3 linked regions of the Lepisosteus oculatus genome follow. The protein of the gene in region 3 interacts with the protein of the main gene of each other region in a pairwise test. Links are inferred from orthologs where the notes say so. Each region holds a gene or a part of one and is shown on either strand. Other genes may lie near its edges. The genes, in order: cwf19l2, tchp and nab2.

The links.
Region 1: the proteins of nab2 (region 3) and cwf19l2 interact in binary tests that used the Homo sapiens proteins (3 or more experiments, as listed by UniProt). The two-hybrid records come from large-scale screens. The link is inferred for Lepisosteus oculatus from reciprocal best matches to the Homo sapiens genes NAB2 and CWF19L2.
Region 2: the proteins of nab2 (region 3) and tchp interact in binary tests that used the Homo sapiens proteins (3 or more experiments, as listed by UniProt). The two-hybrid records come from large-scale screens. The link is inferred for Lepisosteus oculatus from reciprocal best matches to the Homo sapiens genes NAB2 and TCHP.

Annotation. Positions count from the first base shown.
Region 1 is NC_090700.1:10,208,455-10,215,950, reverse strand, and holds the start of cwf19l2 (CWF19-like protein 2), read right to left. Parts: upstream 3,041-7,496; 5' UTR 3,007-3,040; coding exon 2,914-3,006; intron 1-2,913. Other genes in the region: alkbh8 (alkylated DNA repair protein alkB homolog 8), read right to left, coding at 4,426-4,959, 5,694-5,843, 7,374-7,496.
Region 2 is NC_090717.1:5,755,780-5,763,282, forward strand, and holds the start of tchp (trichoplein keratin filament-binding protein), read right to left. Parts: upstream 3,038-7,503; 5' UTR 2,887-3,037; intron 2,410-2,886; 5' UTR 2,397-2,409; coding exon 2,206-2,396; intron 1,592-2,205; coding exon 1,381-1,591; intron 1,128-1,380; coding exon 1,071-1,127; intron 452-1,070; coding exon 383-451; intron 1-382. Other genes in the region: gltpa (glycolipid transfer protein), read left to right, coding at 4,564-4,666. UniProt on the Homo sapiens protein: Tumor suppressor which has the ability to inhibit cell growth and be pro-apoptotic during cell stress. Inhibits cell growth in bladder and prostate cancer cells by a down-regulation of HSPB1 by inhibiting its phosphorylation.
Region 3 is NC_090696.1:15,542,882-15,550,545, forward strand, and holds the start of nab2 (NGFI-A-binding protein 2), read left to right. Parts: upstream 1-4,642; 5' UTR 4,643-4,852; coding exon 4,853-4,855; intron 4,856-6,023; coding exon 6,024-6,188; intron 6,189-6,558; exon of another isoform or gene 6,559-7,622; coding exon of another isoform or gene 7,623-7,664. UniProt on the Homo sapiens protein: Acts as a transcriptional repressor for zinc finger transcription factors EGR1 and EGR2. Isoform 2 lacks repression ability.

The sequences.
Region 1 (7,496 bases), on a different chromosome or scaffold from region 3:
TCCTGGTGGATCTCATCTTTTGTAACAGAGCCAAATAAAATGATCTGCTTTATTTATTTAAATTTAATATTTTAATGTCTTGCATCTACTTGATAGATAATGATAAGAATACTTACTCTAACAGCTTTCCACCTGAAAATCAACCTTTCCTTGTACTTCATGGTTACTGACAGAATTATCTTGTTAAAGAGTGTTTCCTTTTGAGACATACATATGACATAATGTAACAAATGCAGTAATCAGGAGTGTAACGCAGCTCCTGAGGCAGGGCCTATGGAAATGTCTAACACTTAGTGACACATTTTTAAGTGCTCACACAGAAGAGTGGGACATCATACAGCTAAAGATAAAGATAAACATCAGATAAAGATCCAATACATGCAGACAAAGAGGCACTCCAATGCCTCTGGAAATGAAGATGCTGCGATGGACCCTCGGCTGTAGAAGACTAGACCATGTCATGAATGAAGGGGCGCGATAAACACTCACTGAGAAAATGAGGGAATCGCGCCTGCGACGGTATGGACACGTGCTCTGCAGCAATGACACATCAATGGCAAAGACCGCCCTCGAATTGAATGCGGAAGGCCGCCGGCCTCATGGACAACCTTAACGCGCTGGCTGGACTGGCTGAAAGACGACATGGGCCTCGCAAAAGTCTCCTGCCGAGACGCCGCAGACCGTACGAAGTGGAAAAATCGGTGCAAACAAGCAGACCCCACATAAGTGGGAAAATGTGAGGAAGAAGAAGAAGAATACATGCAGACAAAGATTACATACTTTTGACTCACCTGGGTGACATGCGGCAGCCATCTCACACCAGCAGCCCCACTACACCGATCAGACATAGCAGTGAGAAATTGTTCAAGACTGAATTAAGAACTTTAGGTAGGCCAGACTGGACAGACCCATAGCAGAACTTAGTCAGGAACCAGGAATCAACATCCCTTCTCAAACAGCACTGTGGCACCTTTAATGGTCAAGTAGTTTTGTAACAGAGCCAAATAAATTGATCTGCTTTATTCAGGGTTTAAGGTTTAGGGTCTCATTCAGAAAATAACACCTCCTGCAGCATGGTGGAGGACTCCATACTGCAGCATTGATCAAGAAACTTTGGAAAGGGAAGAGCACCACCTACTGGTCCACCAACCAAGCTACTGCTGTGAATGCTGTTTTCTCATTTTATACGGACCAGACCAAGACCTGTATTCTGAGATCTGTTGAGATAAGGTAACTCGGCCCAACTATAAAAGGTAATTTAATTAAAAAGCCACTCGCCAAGAAACGTGGTAATTTACCTTAACAAATACCGTATTTTCCAATAAGGTTTATTTAAAAAAAACGATTTTTCTTATTAAATTGATTGTTTCTTTGTTACCACCAAATCAGACATGTGGTCAAACGTCAGAAAGGTTCAGGCAATTCACCTTGTCATTCAAACAAGCAACAGGTCTTTGAAACTCTAGTTCTGCATATACTGTACGAACTTGCTAGCATACCTTAAATTGTTATGGTATTTGCATAACACATTAACATTCTTAAAGCTTTAATTTTCGTCCAAGAAGCTTATGTTCCTAGGCGTCTGCAAAGCACTAGGGAAAAAAAAAACCTCGCCTTTGAATTTGCACCATGCCGAATGCAAATTATTAAGTATTGATCATGATTTGAGAAGACGGGGGGAAAAGTAAAGCTCAACACGTCAGATAGAAGCAAAGGATTTCAACACACTGTTCTGAGGCATGGTTTATTCAAAAACCAAGGCTTGTTTTGCCTTTGCTTCTGAGCTACAGGCGGTGTTTGGACAAACTGCTGACGCACAAATAGGCTTCTGCGCATCTTTTCCTTCCTGCAGCGGCGCGTAATGCGTCTTATCACCAGCGTTCAGCATTTGGTTTTGGACTCTCCAGCCAAGTAATTAAAGTGACTGATGACAGCAAGGCAGTTGTGCTGATAAGGTTTATGATACTTATTTTTGTTCAGCATATGCGATACAAATTTTCATTACAAGAGCCCACGAAAGAAGGAAACCGTTCCACCTCGCATAGCGCAGTTGAACATTCCTTAAGATAAATTATCGGGTGCAATGTTGCTATACCTATTATCACGCCGTTACAATGCCTAAATAATTCAAGTTTCTATTTTTAATTTTATCTTCTGTGTAAGACTAATAACTATCCAAAACTGGCGCATACATTGATTTTAATGTAGAATAGTAATACCCTAAACTTCCTGAAGAACTAAAGGAGATGCTTTCAGTATCTGCTTCGGTGCCAAGGACAGAATAAATAATGAATTCGCTCACAATAATTTATTTAAAACGTCTGAATAGTTCCTTTCCAGAAAATATGGAAAAGAAAATTACCCTAAGAGACATGTACATAAGCTACAGACGACATCGTTCACTGCAGGTGCGATATCTCCACCTTGTGGTTTCGCTGTTATATGACGCGAGTAAAAAATCAATTTCCCTCTGCCCCGCACATACAAGAGCTAGTTATATAGTATAACGTGCCAGAGGAAATTGGTGATAAAAAGAACTAGGAACCGCTACACCAGTTTATAGTTCAGCTAATATGACTCATCAAGAACTTTGTCTGACAAGAAGTTACCAATTAAATACAGTACAACAGGCAACAGAAGTGCAGAAATGACATTACTGATAGTTGTCTTGAAATATTCCATATCCCGTTTCTTTCAAAGCATAAAATCACTTCCTCGAAACTGCATATACTCTATAATCCTTATTTGCTTACGCGTACGTGTAAAGATTTTAAGTATTTCAGTATTAACGATTATTCAGTAAATACGGCAAGAGTATTCATATTAAGCACAGATGTATAAGTTCCCACCCTTCTTGGAACACGGAGTAAGCAATCTTCACAAACAGTAATTTTCATCGAAACTCACACCTACCTTCTTCAGAATGTCTTCTCTTGCCTTCCTTTTCAACTCTTTCTTCTCATTGAGGCTGTTGGCACTTTCAAAACTACCACCGTACGCCGCCATGACGATGCCGCAAACCGAGCGGCCGGTTAATCCAAGGCCTTTTAAACGGTCGTAAATACATTACGACAGTTGAAGCCGCAACAGTACATAACGCACAGCTGCCCAGAAGTTATTATATACATAAAATGAAGTGGTCTGGGAAGAACCCTTTGAGCATTTTAAAATGGGTGTAAGGGAGTGTTCGCAGCAAAAATATGAAAGCGGTGCGGACGTTATTTTTATTTAATTTGTTTAATCTTTTTTCATAACTTGAATTTATGTTGTAATATGTACCCCTGACGATCTTTTTGTCTTGAGATGTTATATGTGCTCGTTTGTATTTTAATTTGTGTTATTCTGTTATGCATAAATTAAAAAAAACAGCTGCCCAGAAGTCAATCTACGGCAATAACTGTACAGTATTTGTTTTGTGATTACGTCATTGGATTTAGAAGGGTGCGATAGAAGGTGTAGCGAACATTGTTTTTATTATGCCAGAGGTCATTTTTTATTGCACTTGTGATTTTGGAATCTGTTCATACAATGGTCTTGGGTCAAAATGAAAAATCTGCCATATGACTTGATTATGTCATATGTGAAATTATAAACCTTTCAGGAAATGGGAGGTGGTGTGGACAGACCTCATGCAAAGGCTAAAGATCAGCTCGGATCGTTATTTAATAAAATCCGGAGTTGTTACTAGAAAGTCTAGCCATGTTAAAACAGTACAATTCATACACGTCATTGCTTCACTTTGTAATTGTGCACAAGAAGATCTGCTGTTAATATTCAAACAATCCTGGGCAGGTCTCTGTGCTGGGAAACATGCAGCCAAATATTCTAGTGCCAAAAATTTGTCCCAGCTTTTGATCAAAGGCCTATTACCCATTAATAATAACGCAGATGACTGGTGCAGTTTAGGACATAGTTTCACCTGAGACATCACAATAGTAAAAAAGAGTATAGTATACATTGCATTTTGAGATTTGTAAAATCAATAAAAAACTAAATACGAACTTACTGTAGAACAAATGTAAAAGCAATTAAGAAACTGCTGCTATGCGTCAATTCTACGTTTTCAAAGTACAGAACATATAAGTCTAGCAATGCATAGGGAAATGGTATTCAGCAAGCCATATTAAAATTGAGACATCAGAGGTAAAGATCTTAAGCAACTGCATATTAAAGCACAAATGCTAAGGTTTAAACTCATCAAGCTTTCAAAATAACACATCGAACCTCGGAGTCCGTAGTATGATATCCTTTCCAAAAATGGTGCTTCCTGATAAGTAAAAATCTTTTTGCAGAACTTTTATTTTCATTAAATAAAATACATTACATTGAATTACTTCATTGCATTTTGAATTACTCGATAACGGCCATCATAAAAATCACACTAAAATCTTTCTTTTTGGCTTCCTTAATATCACATTTAAAAAATCATTCACTTTTCTTCTCTAATATTACACACCAGTTCCCTTGATCATAGTAACTGGTCTGGATTGCAATGTTCTCCACTTCTCCACACAAGCTCTCCAACTCCTCTTCACAGAAGACGTGGTAATAGCGGTGAAAGATGGGGCAGATATCTGCAGATCCTAATGATTTTCCCACGTTTTTGTCCCTGGGAGCAGAGCTTTTCAGATGCCAGGGGACAAGCAGGTCCTGGGAATGGAACGCAGTTCTGTTGGTGTGAACGCTCAATGTTGACATGTTTTGCCGAGTCAAAGGACAATCTTTGACCTCCTTCCCAGCAGGCCTGTGGTTTGATGCCAAAGAGGTGCTGTGTCCTAGGTGGTCCGCTGTTTGCTCAGGTCTTTGCGCAGAGCCCTCTTCTTGATTCACCTTTTTCCCCTTCAAGTATTTGGACTTCTGCTTGTTATATTCCTGCTCCATTGCCCAAACATAAATAAGTGCCTTTCCCCCAGGCCTCAAAAGCCTCACAAGTTCTTTAATGGCAGCTAGTCTTCTCTCCTAAACATGAAACACAATTAGTAAGCTCAGTGAATAATTACATTTTTCTGCTCTGTTCTTTTTTAATAGCCAATACAAAGTAAGCCCAGGGGAGCCCTAGGTAGGGTAGGTACATTGCAGAATTGTTTAATGCAGAGTGAAGAGGTGGCAGTGTTCCACGCCCCAAACTCCAAAGTTCTCCCTAATACCTGTAACTGCAGTGGAGATTAGCCAGGTTGTATGGTTTTCCAGTGAGTATTCTAAAGCATTCTGTTGATTGAGTACTGAGTATTCTAAAATACTATAAGGTAACACCAAAACACTTTCGTGCTTCACAAGCCTGTCCATTTCAATGGCTTTAGAAGAAATAAACTTTAAAAACAGTGAATACCTTTTTATTAACTTTAAATACCTTTTTATGTCTATCCTTTTATTCCAGAGACTAAAGCTGAAGTTAGATGTAACTTTTCTCTTCAGAAAAGGTGTGGTTTGGGAAAAGATTAGATACAGTAGGCAAACTAAGGCTTCGACTTGTTTTCTTCTTGAACTGTACTGAATATCTCCTACCTAATGAAAAAATGCAGCCTACTGCTTTATCTGAGATCCTCACTGATCTTCAGCTGTTTTTGTAGCACTCTCCTGCTAGCCTTTTTTCATCAAGTGAAATTTCCTATGAAAAGAATAACTAGGAGAACCATCCAGAGCCGTTGTGTCCTGCCTGCTCTAGGTAAGAAGAACCATGAGTGTCTGCTGACCTTAGTGGAGAAGTGGTGAATGACGGCGATGGAGATACAGGCATCACAAATGCCACTGCGAAGAGGCACCTCAAGAGCATCTGACACCAGGACCTGGAAGCTCCTCTCTCCGCAGATATCCACCAGGTTCCTGCTGCGATCACAGCCCACCTGCGAAAACACAGGAGGGGGGCAGCGGGGCATCAACAGCAGCAAGGGCCAGGAGCCATGTCAGAAAGGGATGAGCAGACTGCACCCACCCCGACACAACCAGGGCCATCTCAGTCCCCATCCAGACAGCCAGTAGCCTTTATAAAAACCACCACAAAGGGGTTTCTCAAAAAGCAGCATCACACTGCGTCCCAGAAGATTCGGATCGGATCCTGTCTGCAGCCACCTCTGTGACTCTTGAACAAACAGTGACATCCTTTGAAGGTCGCTGAAAACACACGTAATGTGTCTGTGTTATGCAGAGTTTAAGTCAAGGGGTGTTATTGTGGGCCTTTCTCCGTGAGCATATCATCTTTTTATATTTTGTGGCAGTATTTTTTATTTTGACACGTAAAGTATCTTATTTACGTTTTCCAAATGCGTTTTGAGGTAACATTTGAAATATTTAAAAATGTGTTATCTCATGCATAATTCAACAATGCACCAGTTACAAGCAAAGAAAAAAAAACATTTTGGGGCACTATGAGGAGTGTACACCTTTAAAAGGTAAAGGCAATGACAATAGCTATCCCCACACATTATTCTGGCTAATTTTTAATAAGACATGATTTACACCAATAAATCAATATCTGCTTTACTGCTTGAAAGACACAGTAAAAGGCAAATAAAAACAGAAATTTACAGAGGATGCCATGTTTGGTGCTCAAATATAAAAAAAACTTATAATTTACGATAATATTTTCTTTTAAAAAGTGTCTTCCACAGTTAGGGGTTCTTTTGCACAAAAATAAAGCCTGCAGCTTGCAACATTATCTTATCCAAACAGACGAAAGGTCAAAATTATCATGGAAAGACAATTATGAGCTATGAGCTAGGGCTTTGTCACTTACAGAAATTGTGTTACACATTTTGTTCGACCTATCCTAAAAAAATGCTTTCCTCCATAGTTGTATAACAAATACATCAAACAGTACCGTTTTTAACAGCCAGTACATCATACTTTCCTTTCCAATACAGATTTTAATATAATATGGAATTGAATCAAAAAGCAAAGTGTTATATAATACACTTGGTTTTCTGCATATAAACATGATCTTATCTAAAAGACAGAATACTTAGGACATATTCAAAGCTGTAATCTTTCATCTGTTTATCTTTTTTTTTTAAAGATGTGTACTTCAGGAGCCCACTGTCTCCCTATACCATAAGGGGACGAGCAAGGACACTGCAAATAATTTGGATTATCAGAACGTTAATACTAATCAATGTGCAGATTGTAACTTTTATGCACTTACAAATGCTACTTTATATTCTTTTCTAAATGAAGATGATAGTCTTTCAGCTCAGCTCGATGGTTTGTTCCAAACGAAACCTCACGAAGTAGTAATATATATGCTTTGGCGACAATGAGGAGAACAGAGCTGGGTCAACAACCCGTGTAATTCACTCAAATCATACAGCTCGTTAACACAGAGTAGAGGGGCTTTCCGTAAAGTATCATTAAAACTGCAGATCTACGGACTGTCTTACCGCAAACAGGTCCTGTTTTAACCCCAGGTACTTTCCATTCCCACAGCCTACGTCTGCCAGGATGGCGCCAGTGGGCAGAGACTGGAGGAAGTCTACCACCCTGGGCCAGGGGGAGTGCCGGGT
Region 2 (7,503 bases), on a different chromosome or scaffold from region 3:
CCCTAGGTTAGGTGAGAATAAAAGGTCAGTGGCCAGAGACCTGTGGCTCTTAGACTCAGCCTGAGTTTCACAGGATGTATTACAATGGAGTGTCACACAGCGATATGTACAATTAACCCAAGTCATACTGCCTGACCACCAGGGAGATGTATGAGGGGCCATGGCATTCTTCAAATGACATCTAACTTCATGATACATTTACTCAGACTTCAGTAAAAGCATAATTGTTAACAGGAGATATTGAAAGAACATTCATTTCAAATGTTAGGTGCCAGTGCATTTTGCTTTTCTGCAAAGTTAAGCAAGAACTGGTATTAGATTACCCTATGCCTCTCAATAAGGCATAGGGGCAAATGTTAATTAATGGTGATGGTGCAGGTACCTGTTTTTTTTCTCTCGTTTGCACCTGCCAGCTGTTCACTACATGGTCCTTGTGCAATGCTGATTCAACCTAGAATATAAAAGTATAAGGGGACGTTAAGGATTTCTTTCCTAACTTTAACACCTAACACTAAGAAGACAGAAAGTCAGATAAAACTTTTATGTCAAAACAATTGCATATTAAGCTGTATATATGTCTATTTAAATTAAAAAAAACAGTCTCTTAGGCTTCAATTGATTCTGCAAAATCCCCTGCTGCAGGTAGCAGGTCTCTGAAGAAATAATTTATCATTATGGGACAGGAACTCAATCCTAGGGTCAGGATTACACACTGTCATGGAACAATGATGTCAATGGCCTATTAGTTTCAGGATCAAGTCAACACCTTGACGCACTTCTCCTCACACTTTCACACCATGTGGTTCTCTTTAATTTTGCTGTATTTCAAGGACTCAGAACAACATTAACATTTTAAAAACTGATCCTTAAGATTCATTGCAGTTAGTAAGAGTACCCTACCTTTCAGAATGTAACACGTAGGATACAGAAATACTAGAGATGAACAAATTTCATATAACTGGATGCCTTCTGCATGTACCTCAAAATACAAGTAAATAACAAAGTGATGTTTGCAAATAAACTTTCAGACCATGCTTTTACCACATAAAGCATAGAAAAACAAACTGTACCTGACGTAAATCTGAATTATTTCTCTTCCAATGCTCCTGCAACAGCTCCTCTGCCACCTGTGACCAAAATCAAAAACTGCATTAAGGATTGCCAACAAGAATGCAGCTAACTCGATGATCAGGCCACTGTTTTCTCCCAGTCATAGCTTGGCACCAGCTGTCTTTGTTCTGTCTCACCCTGAACCTTTATCTTTCGCACGAATCCCACAATAACACGATTGATTATGTCAGGGCTGGATCAGGCTGAAATATTTCCCTGCTTACTTCAAACTACAGGAACTGGTTTCTGTAACGTGAGCACTGCTTGTACCTTCTTTCTCCGCTCTTCCCTGGATGTCCTGAGCCCCTCCATCCTCTCTGTCATCTGTTTGGCCAGCGTCTCTCTGTCGGGGACCAGTTCTCTGAGCTCAGCCTCCAGCTGGTCCCTCTCCTCCTGCAGGAAGGCTCGGAGACGGGCCCTGCGCTGCTCCAGACTCCTCTTCTTCTCCTCCTTCACTTTCTCCTGATGGTAGGCTGTCATGCTGGCAACAGGAGAGAGGCTGCCAATACTTAAATGGGAAAACTCAGCAGTTCACAAGGCTAAGAATTATTAGTAGACCAGTGGAATATGAAAGCACTTTTAAAACTGAACACAGGAGTCCTTTTTTTTCTCCACATAACTTTACGGAATAAGCTGCCCAACCATGTTGTTAAGCGCGATACCCTGACATTGTTCACGAAATTGCTGGATGAAACCCTCGGATCTATGAGTTATAAACAGCTACATGAGCTAGTTGTGCTGCATGTCCTCCTCTAACTTGTAACCTTTCTCACGCTCTTTTTTAAAGATCAAGGCAAGAATCAAGGAATCTTGCTTTATTGCAACGGGTATATATGAAAATAACGTTTTTCCTATTTTTTATCTTAGTTCTAAAAAGGATTGAACGCCTGTAGAAGGGAATGACTGTTTTATAAGAGTGATCTAATTCCATCCCAGCAAATTATCCTCGATGGGTCTCAAACACCACATACTGAACATCCCAAAGCACTTTGCCAAGCAAAGCGCGTGTAAACAAAAAGCAAAATCAACGATTCATCGTTGTCCAGCACATTGAGGTTAATAAAACACATTGTTGAAAGAGGTTTGCTGAATCACCTCTGGTGGTAAGACTGTCGGGAGCTCCACTGGGCTTGCTTGCTGCTCCGCACGTTGTTCTGTTTGAAATACTGCGAGTGCAGCTCCCACTGCTGCCGGAAGCGAGCCTCCTGCTCCCGCTGTCGCACGATCTGCTGCTCCAGAACTCGAGAGCGGCTCGGACAGCGCATCGAGAGGGTGGGAAGAGCCATCTGTTTCCTGCACCTTAAAAAAAAAACAAACGTTCATTGTAATGTAGGAACCCTTTCCTTTCAAACATCAATCAATACTAAAACAGAATGTCACAGGACCACAGATGATTATATTCTACACCCTTATTACCATTATTAAACTTTACAATGGGTATTCCTAGTTTCCTTGCACTAAAAATGACAATAACAACTCATTCACCTTTAGACTTCTACATTATTAAATGCGTTACCGTACACAAATAAGCAAGTATTCAACAATATTGCATAGATAAATGTTTAGATGTTACGCGTTATGTTTAACAGTGGTATCGTACTGTTCTTATCCCCTGCGATTTTAAACTAACATACATCGCGATGTACTATTGTAATGTTCATGTGAGACATATTGACTTGGTTTAAACATCTGGTTTCATAAGCACTCGAAATCAATATAATGCGAATTTGTAGTTCATGCAAAAGGGGACAATTCGTCTAAGAGGCAAATACTCACTGTAGAAATATGATTATCACGTTTTCAATAACGCAGTAAGGTAGGCTTTATTCCAAGTGGAAGCTTGTTCCAACTTCAAATTTCAGAAATTTCAGTTGGCGACAGTTCCTTTCGGCTATTTCCTGTTTCACTTGGTAACCGGTTTAACTTCCTGGTTACACTACGGATGCCGTAAGGGACAAAGCACATGCTTAGACGTTTCCCGTGTTCTTAACTAATGTTTCGAAACCGACATTCTGGATGTCCATAGCCTGCGTTGAATCTGCACTTAAAGGCTGATCACAATAATTGTTCAAACAAATTGCATGAAATGGCAGATATAATGGACTTTTCTGGGTTGGTGGCAACTCTACATTTTGTCTCGCTAGAAATTCTCAGAGAAACGCGTTTTAGGCACATGTTTAGCTGAACTTTGTCTTGAAATGCCAAAGATAGCACCTAAAAACCCACTGTTTTATGACTTGCTTGCTTTGAAATGTTAATTTTTTTTAAATAGAGCATCCAACATTTAGTATTTAGTGTGCGTGGTTTGCTCCTATAATAGCTTCGCGTTTTATTTAATTTTAAATTAGAAAGAAAGTAGAAATTTACGTCACCAGTCATTCACCAGTCACTGTAAATCACAACAATATAGGATATACCTGTCTGGTGAATGTAGGAGACAAAGATTAAATATGCTTCGTTCAATTTCATTGTCTGCCCCGCATTAAATATAGAGCAGCTATGAATGTTTCATGATGAACAGATAACCATGGCTAATTATACCCTAGAAGTGTTGTCAGATATCGAAATTGTCAGTTAAAGGGTAAAGAGGATATAAATAAATTAAAAGAAAAGCCCTTTCACAAGTTTAGAATGTGAGGAGTTGGGTCCTCTGAATTATTGATCCCTTGCAATGTTCTGCTTTAGTACATTTAAGTGTCGCATATATCTTTAACGCAAATAATACAAATAATGCAAATAAGACTTGAAAAGTACCCATTATTAAACATACTGTATATATAGTGATTGATTTATCAGATATTGAATCATCACGACATATTTTTGAAGAGCTGCTTAATTATTTTTGGCATTTTTATAATTCAACGTTTTGACCATGTAGCAAACAAAAAAATATATCGTTTTATAATTTATTTACTCGCTTATCTATTTGTTTCTTTCTTTGTCTTTTACAGAGGAAACGTTTAGATAGAAATCTCTCATCTAAAACCATAAAGCGAAAGGGGAGATTATGTACATCTACACTTGTAAAAACCTTTTCTTCACACGAATCAAATCCTCCGGACATTCAATATGATACAACATGCCTGATGTGAGCCCTGTACTGTCTCAATTTTTGTTTTCCTTTTTGGAACCATGTTTAAACTCAAGGACCACAGTTCAACGAGTACTGTAGGTACAGAAGGTTCCAGGTAGGTCTGTGCCGCACGGCTCTGGGAGTTTCTTTTCGGTATTGGCTGGTGTTGTCCCGCCCACCTTGCACCTGATAGGCTAATCCGAAAATCCAGCTGGAGCCACTCGCTCGCTGTGCGGCCCCCCGAGCTGTCAGTTCAGTCGCTCCTCTACTCCACCACACAAGCGCTCTCTCTGACAGTTCCGGGTTTCTGTTTTTGAAGCTTTATTTCCCCCTCGATTGACGAGTTTTAAATTACGGTTTTGCCGTGACAGTCGCGCACCATGGCTCTTCTAGCGGAGCATCAGTTTAAACAGCTTCCAGCCGATAAGCAAGTGGATACCAGATCGTTTTTGGAGTCGGTGTCGTACCTTCCGTCTTTCTTCGGTAAGTTTCTTTAAATTCACCTGGGCAGGGAGGACAAATCACCTTTTTAGCAACGGATGCCATTCCTTTCTGTAAACAAAGCGATCTCGGGGTGTGTTGTAGTGTTATCTTTGTGTTTCCACATAAGGATCTAAATCGCTTGAAGTCGTATTATCCATTTTTTTAAATCACCTTGAAGTCTCTTCACTTTATGCACGCACTTTGGAAATGTGTTTTAATGCTCCAGCTTCTTTATAAGATTTAATCTGACCACGGTCAGGTAAACAAAGAGTTTTATCGCTACGTTGTGGTCTGTTATATCAGTGCTTAATAGTAGCATTTTTTAAACGATCGGAAGTTAAATATTTTCATTCAGCTGCTCCGTGAAGTTTAGTCTAACTTTGCCTCGGTAACTTCAAGATGAATGCTTGGTCGGAGGCGAAGCTTACTGTAAGATTCAGTGATGTTCCGTGTTTGAGATTTGTGCTCTGCATGTGTTAAGAAAAAAAAAAGAGGTTTCAGAGTGCTGCTTGCCCTGTACGCAATGATTACCAGAATTGCAATAAATGAAACTCCGCTGAAAACGTGCAGAACTGCACTACACCGCAACATCGTTTCTTCTTTGAATACAGTACAATCGTAAGAGACATAACAGCCGCGCTGCTTGAGGTATATTTATCGTTTTGGCTGCTTGGCATATATTGTTGTTAATGCCAAATAATCAGCAGTTAGTAACTAATTAATTATTCGATTAATTAGTATTTCCTATTAATTGTCCAATGGCATTTTAAATCAACTGCATGAACGGTTTTACTACCTAGAACTGCAGAGGAAATTTAAACCTACATTTATTTAAGAGAAATTGAACAGATTACAGGGTCTCGATAACATAGAACTGCCGCTTATCTTTGCTTAATCTTCTTCACTTTCTCCGGCTTCAACATCCAAATGAAGAACCTGATAGCCTGAGCCTGGTGGTATCTGGATCCCGGGCTGTAAACATAAGATGCTGCCTTTAAACGTGAGAAGCGCACTGCTTGTCTAATCTATATTTACAGCCTGATAGTAATCCCACGCTTCACTACGATGGGTTGACCCAGAATGAACAAGTACTCGTTTAATTACTGTTATTCAACAGACTAACGACTGCTTTATAAAGGAACACATTCTGTAACGGGGTAGCTCAAAAGTCCCTTCTCATGTTGTGTATAAAAAAATAACAAAATCGTTTTATCCTGCTCGTTGTTGGATAGACACTCATTCTGTTTTGATAGCTACACTTATCTACACTTCATCTATAAAATACAGTTTAAAGACTTAAGTTCTGTATAGACCTGGTGGGGTTAGGGAAGTCATTGACTCTGGGGTAAGTGACTGAAGGTTCTGATATTTGCAACATATTAAACACACCTATGCCTTACTTTAAATGGAGAACAGATTTTATTTTAAGGCCACAATATAGTAAAAGGCACAGAGCAGCACTTTCCATTTTTAATGACTAGGCAGCTCTAATCAACTGGAATGTGAATGTAGTATACTCTTGGAGTGTATAAAACCCATCATTGCCTGATTTCCTGTTATGTTCTGAAGTGATGAGCAGACACGGGCATTGTGATTGTAGCACAGGGGTCTCCCTGACGGGAGATGGGTCTGTAAGGAGGGGCGTACCTCAGTTATCTGATGTATGCTTTGTTTTACCTGTTTAACTGTCCTTTGTTTCATTTTGTTACCATTTGAAGACTGGTCTTTCAAGGTTGGTAATCGATATTTTAATGTGTGATTGCATTGTTTTCTTTGTGTGTGTGGGTCCCCAATATACATAAAATGGTGAGGGGCGTATTGTCTTTACAGCATACTCTTGTTAGACGAAACAGAACAAAGGAATGGAAATTGGAGACTGACTCCTATTAAGCATTGATGCTGCATTATATACTACTGTACATAGAATATCTCATGTCCCAAAGACTCCAGTGCTTTTCCAAAACACTTTCTCAGTGACTTATCTCCTGCTGAGTGTATGTGTGCATTTGAAACCAACAGCAGTAGTTTAATCTCTACCTGGTGCCCGGTGCCACTTTAAATAACCAGACAGATTTCACAACGCAGACAGATTTCCATCAAGGTCAAACATACCACCAATGTATTGGCTTTAAGCTGGAAAATATTGTATACAAACCTTACAGAAATTATTTCAGCAGATTTGGACATACAATCTGCTGTAAAAAGGAAGGCAAATGCTTCATGTTTCCTGACCTAACTCCTACAGTGAGTGGCTTTTACTGGGTGGTAGGGACAGTTCTTTTACATAACCTCTAAAGCAGATTAATCTGCTTTTTTCCCACATGCTGTTCATATTACAAAGATTGTTCAAGGATGCTGTCCTAGAACGCTCTTTCTACAATCCTCTTAAAAGCTCCTAATACGGACTTTTGTTTCTCTGAGCATCACCCTGATCTTAGTGAGAATACAAAATCAGGCACCTGACGTTACAACTAGACGTTTCAATTGGAGACATCCCGAGGAGGTAAAATTCGAAAATAAACGTCTGTCCTCATTCTGATTCACAACACAGTCACACATATCCATTCTGTACTTCCACACAGCCTTTCCTCAGTGGTAACCACTGAAATGTGAAGGCTGAAATGATTTTTCGGCTCTCAATGAGGGGCAGTGACATTGCAAACCTATTCGAAGCCAATCACAACATTTCCCGTGAGCCACAGATTCCCTATAGCAGCTTTATACTGTGAGACATCGCCTTTAACATGCCTTAATCTTTTAGGCATCCAGAGGCCATTTTTGCCTGGAATGGATGTGCCCTTCTTAAGCAGATTAATTTGAACTGTTTGTTCCCAGCT
Region 3 (7,664 bases):
GTGCAGAGACGTGTTTTGGATGAACCGGTAGTTTATTTCAAACTTGAATTGAACACGGGAGAAGAGGAGCCCAGAAAAAAATATAAATGAACCAATAAAAGAGCAGAAGATATAATTGCAAACGAACACAATAAGTTATGTTTGCACAGTACGTCAGTTGTGTTTTTTTGTTACTTTTCATGTTTTAATGGAGTTTAAGTAATACTGCATTTCCACGTTATAATCATTAAAGAGGGGAGTCACATTAGACTATTTTGTCTCGTTTATGTGATATTTACCCACTATAAATAACCGATTCATTATAAATAGATGGGTTTTTGTCATATTACATATTGCAAGGTGTAACATAATATCAGACTCCTTGAATCCGTCATTCACACGGAAATGCTCAAAGATCAACGTTTGCGACTGACTTGGCAGCTCGAAGATGACGACTGGAGTGGCCCGTGAGCGCGCACAAACGTGCACACGCCCCTCCCCGCCACCGCCACCGGCCGAGGCCGCTCTCCTGCCCTGGGCCCCCGTGCGCGCCGCCGCTCGCACAGGGGCGCGCGGCCTGCTCCGTATGCAGAAGATCAATGATATTTCAAAAAGGCGAACGCAAAAGGGCTTTGATTAGCTCATTTCCTTCTGGCGTTTTCATAAAGCGGAGCTACGGGCTCTGTTTGCTCTTTTTTTTGTGCGTTTCTTGATTTTTTTTTCTCTCCTTCTCATTTATTTTCCGAGTCCCTGCCGCCGCATACAGTACAGGGCTCCATTCCTCTTTGTCTCTCTCCCTCCCACACGCCCGGACGTGCGGTTTCTATTTCTGCCCATTCCGGATGCCGGGCTAATGGGTTCCTTGAGGAATAGTTGCAGTCTGTGGGTGGGCGAGATCAACTGGAGCTCATGCTTGTATACCGGGAGATGGTGGGGGGGGGGGGAGCGGCTCGATACGGGGGCGGGAGGATGTGCGTCAGCTACCCAGAGAGCGAGAGAGACCGAGAGAGAGAGAGGGCGTGAACGGCGGAGGGGAAAATGGATTAGTGGGAGCAGGAAAGGACGAGAGAGAAAGAGAGGGAAGGAGCTGTTACCTCCTAGAGCCCCTGCCAGCCTGGTCAAGGCCCAGTGGTGTGTAAATAATCCTGGGAAAAACAGGGAGACGGATCCCCTTAGCACGACAACTCCATGTCTAGCCCCACCAACCTACGCCATTGCTGCTCTTTGTTGTAACCAACTCCTCCGATACAATATTGACTCCTCTGATTATCAGTTACGCAGCAGGTTGTGGCAGAACTGTGCACTGGAGCAGCCTGGAAGGGCTACAGAAGGTGTAGCTCTGGCCTACAGGAAGACGAGACCCAAGCAATCAAATTGCACTGGGGCCTTGTGACCATCCTCAGTACTGCAGACCTGAACCAATGTTGTATGACAGGCTAAGGCTGCCTGGATCTGCTGTGCTACCACCGCAGGAGCCACAGAGCACAACTGGCAACCAGTAGCTCACACTGGCCAAGTCACCACAGCATATTCCTGCATTGCAGCGCTGTCAGTCTAACGGACCGCACACATGCAAGGTTACAATCAAGAGGTCGTTCGGCTCAGCTGGCCCGTTTGGTAGTTAGTAGCTAATTGGTCCAGGGATCTCCCTGGTGGTCTAGTGGTTAGGATTTGGTGCTCTCCTTGCTGCGGACTGGGTTCGATTCCCGGTCACAGAAGCGTGTCTTTTAAGCCAGCAGCCATATCACCCTGCAGCTCACAACTGGCAGACCACTGAAGGTCAGCAGGTGTGAGCCTGGCCAGTACCTGATTAGGGGACATCTAGGGAAAAGCTAAGGTTGCTGCTGGAAGAGCTATTAGAGGGGCCAGTAGGGGGCGCTCATCCCGAGGTCTGTGTGGGTCCTAATGCTCCAGTATAGTGACGGGGATGCTATACTGTGAAAAGGTACTGTCCTTTGGATGAGACGTAAAACCGAGGTCCTGACTCTCTTTGGTCATTAAAATCCCAGAGCGTTTCTCGAAAAGAGTAGGGGTGTTACCCCAGTGTCCTGGCCAAATTTCCCATTGGCCTTTACCAATCATGGCCTCCTTAAATCCCCATCTCTGAACTGACGTCATCACTCTGTTCTCCTCCTCACTGATAGCTGATGTGTGGTGAGGGTACAGGTTCACTATTATTATACAGGTTCATTATTATTATTCACCAACCATTCCTTGAAAGAAGCCAGGGTCTCATCAACTTGGTTGAGCAGCCTGTACCACACTCCCACCACCCTTTGTGTAAAGGGTCTTAAATGTACCCCAGTGTAGGTGCACTTTTGTTTCCACCGCCTGAAAAAGGATAAAACCGAACAGCCTGGCAAGGCTCGTGGGGAGTTTTTTCCCCTTTTTACTGCTTGTCATTTCCTGGTATTTGCCTTGGGCTTGCTTCATCACTATCCCTTGCACTCAGCGTGACTTTGCTGGGCTGAGTTTCTCCCAGGCTCGGCGCCTTGCTGAGGCGGACTGGTGGTCGTCGCTCCCAGCAGGGAAAGGGGCCCTTGCTTTCGGGCTGCGCCAGTGGCCAGGCCGCCCCCTGCAACCAGAGGAAGGACGTGCAGGCATCTCCGGCTCCCCCACAGACGAGCCGATTGTGCCCCAGAGGACAATGAGTCTGCTGTCCCGGCAGAGGTGCTGAACAAGCCCTGCAGTGTGAGGCTGCCCCCACATGCCCCTGGGGCTGCCTGCGCATCCCAGCCAGAGGGGCCGGGAGCAGTCCAAACGAGCCTGAGTGGCCTCATTGTGTGATACGTATTGTCCCCCGAAATCTCTGCACTGGGACCTGCTCCTAGTCCGGGCTGCATTAAGGGGAAGCCGGAGCGAATTTCGTATTGCTCAGTACTCTGAAGCCCATTCGCAGAGGGGAACATCAGACCCTGAAAACTGCCCCCTTGTTCTTGCTCCTATAATACGACTGCTTGCTATCCGTTCCTACGGTGTCTCTCCAGAACGGATCCCTGCATGGCCCGATCAAGAAATCATGGTTAGGTCGCCTACTTTGCCCAGACATGTGAGGCTTGTCCCAGCTTCACTACCCCATCGCAGCCCGGCTGTGGAAGCAGTCTTCCTTCATCACAGTTTCAAACACGTAATCTGGCTTTTCAGCTGAAAAAGATGACAAATAGACATTGCAAGGAGGCAAGATACAAAAGACAGAAAAACATCCTCGGTCTTTACTGGATTCCTCCTAGTTACTCTTTTCAATCTTATGCACCAAGACAGCCCCTGCCTGTGCACCTCCTTGCACAAAGGCGCTCGTGCACGATCTTCTTAGGAACGGGGGTCTCAGACACAGCTCCCTGAGTGCCTAGTGTCTGCCTGGCATTCGCCGGAGTCATGAAACCGTTTGCCCGATTATTGTCTTTGTTGTACATGCGCAGGAGTTTTTGTCTTTGCCAGGTCTTTTATAGTTGATGACAACTCACTGCAAAACCCGGCTCAGCCTGTCTAGAAGGCAGTTAATTAACTAACGAGACCAGCTGGTAAGTCTGGGTGGGAAAAAAAAACAAACAGATACCAGTCCCCCTCCAGGGGGCTGTGTTCAAGACCTCGCCGTTAGAAAAGTCCAGTATTTCAGCAAATTCCACCCATTATAATTAAGACGATTGTATACCTGGCTCAGGAAATGGAGCCGATACAGGAATTATGGGATCTCCTGGGATTATGGGATCTCATCCCGAGTGGGACATTTGCCCATCACACAAGGAGACAACAACTGAGACAACAACTACCCCACCAGCATGTCTCCAGAATCTGAGAGGAAACTAGACACCTAAGAGAAAACTCACACAGACACAGCGGAACATGCAAACTTCACACAGACGGTTCCTCAGGTCGGAATCGAACCCGTTGCGCCGGCTTATATAATGAGATGTTGATATTTTGTAATGCTGGTGCTGCGAATTGACAGAAAAAAAAACATCTTAATTGTTTAATTGCTTTTAATAGGATCCACACAGTGACGCATAACGGCCTGTTGTGTAACGTCAGGGGATAAAAGAGAAGGTGGGCGATTTGCAGACGCCTTCGCTATTCACCCACTTGGACCTGCTGTCCTTCTCAAGCAACGTCATGGCGAAAACAGGAAACGAGACTGTGTTCGTTCTAGGGTGAGAAAGTCCCAAGCTAACGAAAGCCGGGTGTTCCACTGGTGCGATCACACAAGCAACCCAGCCGACCAACTACGTACACCGCGGCGGAGGTATGGGCACGCCAGACGCAGGCAGCCTGACAAGAAAACGCTGCTCTTGCATATCATACCGGCTGCAGTCGAGCGGAGAGTTTTCGAACGGTTTTATGTGAGCTGAGAATTACATCACTGGGGAATCCCCCCTTGTCAACTGCGTCACGCTTCGGATCCGTCGAACCCAGTCGGAAGTGGCCCACGCGCCTCCCCCGGACAGCCACACGCTGGCACGCTCACACACAGCCCGCTCCCGCAGAGCCGCGGTGCTGCTGATGGAGTTTTTCTGCTGTTCGTCATAAAACAAGACACACATCTATCATGTACCTTGTTTTACCAGTTTGCCAAGGTGTTTGTTGAATTATTCTAACCCAATAATAATAATAATAATAATAATAATAATAATAATAATAATACCGATGTTCACAAACGCACTCGAAACACTGTGGTTACGTAGTTCTTCACTCCTAAGCGCTATGGAGTGTGAAGTGGAGACAGCGAGACGTAGCTCTTCTGATGACAAGGAGCGAAGCTCTTTTAATACCCCGAATTTCACAGACTCCAGATGCACAACCCAAGTCATAAGAAGCAATAGATGTGTTTTACTCCCATAGATCTACAGGACTGGAGCCTTTTCGGCTGTGGGAACGGATGGTGGGTTATTATTATTATTATTATTATTATTATTATTATTATTATTATTATTGGTGATGGTGGTAATATTAATTGCATTGCTGATGTTTAATTAGCTTCTCTTGCTTTTAAGTTGCGTCATTTTTTCAGAACTTTTTTGTTCAATCAGAGGCTTGTTACTGTGTTACGGCTACTGCCGAAATGACCCGGGCGCCGTGCAGGCGGAGGGCGATGCGGACAGGGGCTGTCGCTGGGGCTCCGTGCAGAAGTCGCGGCAGTGCACTTGTGCGTGCACGACTGAGCCCGCCAGCGGCAACGCCGCTCTGTGGCGCTGGGGAGGTGTTGAAATCGACGGCAGCGGCGTGATGGGATTTGTCGACAGATCTCCGCGCCTTACTGCGTGATCCGCAGCAGTCTTTGAGCACTTGCACGGTTTGGAACGGCCTCGACACAGGGGGTGTGACTGGGTCGTTCAGGTCTCTTCAGGAGAAGAAACCCGCACTGTAGAGTTAGACGCACACACCAGACCGAAAGGAAGTTTGTAGGTGGCCGGGACCTCTCTCGCCGCAGTTGTGTTGTTGTTGGTTTTTTTTTTTAAAGAAAGGGTTAAAATGATAAAAGCTAGCATGTGAATCCCCCCACCACCCTATCCCCCCCAACTTCCACACCCCCACCCTGAAAGCCGCCTCTCTACCCGGGAGAGGAAAGCTCTTTTTCGGTCAGATGGCGCGCTGCAGTCCGCCCCCGGGTCTCTCTCACCCACACACCCTGCAAAACACTGTCTTTAACAATGCGGTCCGCCGAGAGAGGACAGTAGCCAGAGAAAACAGGCAGCCCGCAGGACAACAAAGTATCGGCAAGAGCAGAAATTAAGGGGGGAACAATAAATATTATCATAAGATAAGAAACAGGGAGAATAGGGGGGTACAAAAACCAGGCGGGCATGTTGGACCAAAGTTTCTAGAAGTTCTGCCTAAACGTTTCGATTCCTGTCTGCGCCGGGGCGGTTGAGGGGTGAACAGGGAGCAGACCAAAGCCGAGGCAGAAGACGGAGCACAACTCACCCATCGGGACTTAAGGGAGAGCAGGGGAGGGCAACGGGGGAAACTCTCCGTTTTCTCTCACTTATTTCCCCCTACACACGCTCCTCTCCCTGCGCGGTGTTTTTTTTTTGCCTTTTCCAATTCAGCGTCGGAACAGCGACGAGCGCGAAAGCGTGAGCGGGACAGCCGCGCTCCGCAGCGAGGCGAGCCGGGCAGCTGGCTGGGCGTTCCCGCCGGGAGCCGAGCCGAGGAGCGCGCCCGCGGGGCACCGTCTCTACGTGATCGCAGCCGACCGGGCGGATCCCAGAGAGGTAGGGCGATCGTCTTTGCTTACCCGGTGACCTCGGAAGGAGCGGGTGCCACAGCCGGCTGCCTTCGTGCAATTTTGGGGTGCGAGTGATCCCGTACGGCTGCGGGTGGCAACTTCTGAAACTGTAACTATTGTGAAACGTTCTGCGTCAGGGCTAGAGCAAGACACACCGGCGTAAACCCCTCTTCACAGATGCCGTTCAGCACTTACATGATCTTTCCCACCCCCAGCTTGTGCGCTTATTATTACGTTTGCAGCTGTCCGCCCGTTCGCAGATCCGCGGAATCGCGACGTTTGCGAGTCGCCGGTGTTTCAGCCGCTGTAGGCAACCATTCTGACTGCCTCCCTCCCCCCGCGAGCAGGTTGTGTTTCTGAACATACTATCCTGATCGTGTTTCCCAAGTCCTGTGCTTCGCCGCTCCTCCAGATAAGTCGCTTTTGTATTCAGACCCTTGTAAATCAAACTTTTGCTGACCGCTGTTTTCCGTCAACAGCTGCAGAAAACAGAATTCTGTACTTTCGGGGGATCTAGAAATCAGAAATTGCGAGCTGTGCTCCACGTCATACGGTACCTTTGGTATTTTTCTATCTAAACCCGCTGTCCCCCGAAGAGCGCGCACGCAGTACGCAACGATGTATTGTCGAGAGGACGAGGTTACTGTCGCAAGTAAGAAGCCCCATGGGCGCATCACAGCCAGGGGGCTCGGTGATTAGGAATATCCTGATAGCGGATCGGTTGGGTTGTTCTATTGCTCCGTGGCGAGGTACTGCCGGCCACCGTGGGCACGGCGCACCTTCTCCCGAGAAAGCGTCTCTTCTCCGAGCCAATAGACCGACGTCTCGCCAGACAGTGACCCCGATAAACCTTTATCTGCTAGAGGCGCCAAATGTCATCTCTTCTGCCTGTCTGGTCTTTCTGTGTCGGACGTGGCTGTGTCTTATCAGCATTCTTAAAAACGTGGGAAACGCAAGCATGCACTGTGTTAGATATCAGGATATCGAGGTGTTTTTGAAGAGTTGTCCCTCAACCGCTGCTGCCTTTGATATTCTCAGATTGCTCTGCTGGCGTGTTCAGTATTTAGTTTGCAGACAAGTGAGGTTCTATGCGTTTCGCTTTTCTGATTCTTTTTACTACTGTCTGCTACTGTGACAGCAGCTTAGGAAAACAAGCGGGCTGTGGCAGTGGAGTCGGCGAAGCACAAAGACGGCGTGGTTAATGGGATTTAGCTCCACGCACTTTACCCGATCTGTTTACTGGGATAAATACACGCCGCACCCCGAGTCAGTTCAGACCAGCTTCTAGCAAAATCCGAAATGGATCAAAGTGATGTGCAGTGGGAGTCTAGTGTTTCTCTGAGTAATAAACATAGTGGCAGCAACACCGCTAACAGCAATAGTGGTACTAATATGGACTTTCGGTTGTGATTGCTTCCACATGCACACGGTGCAGTCAGAACAAAGGCAGTGCCCGATCAGT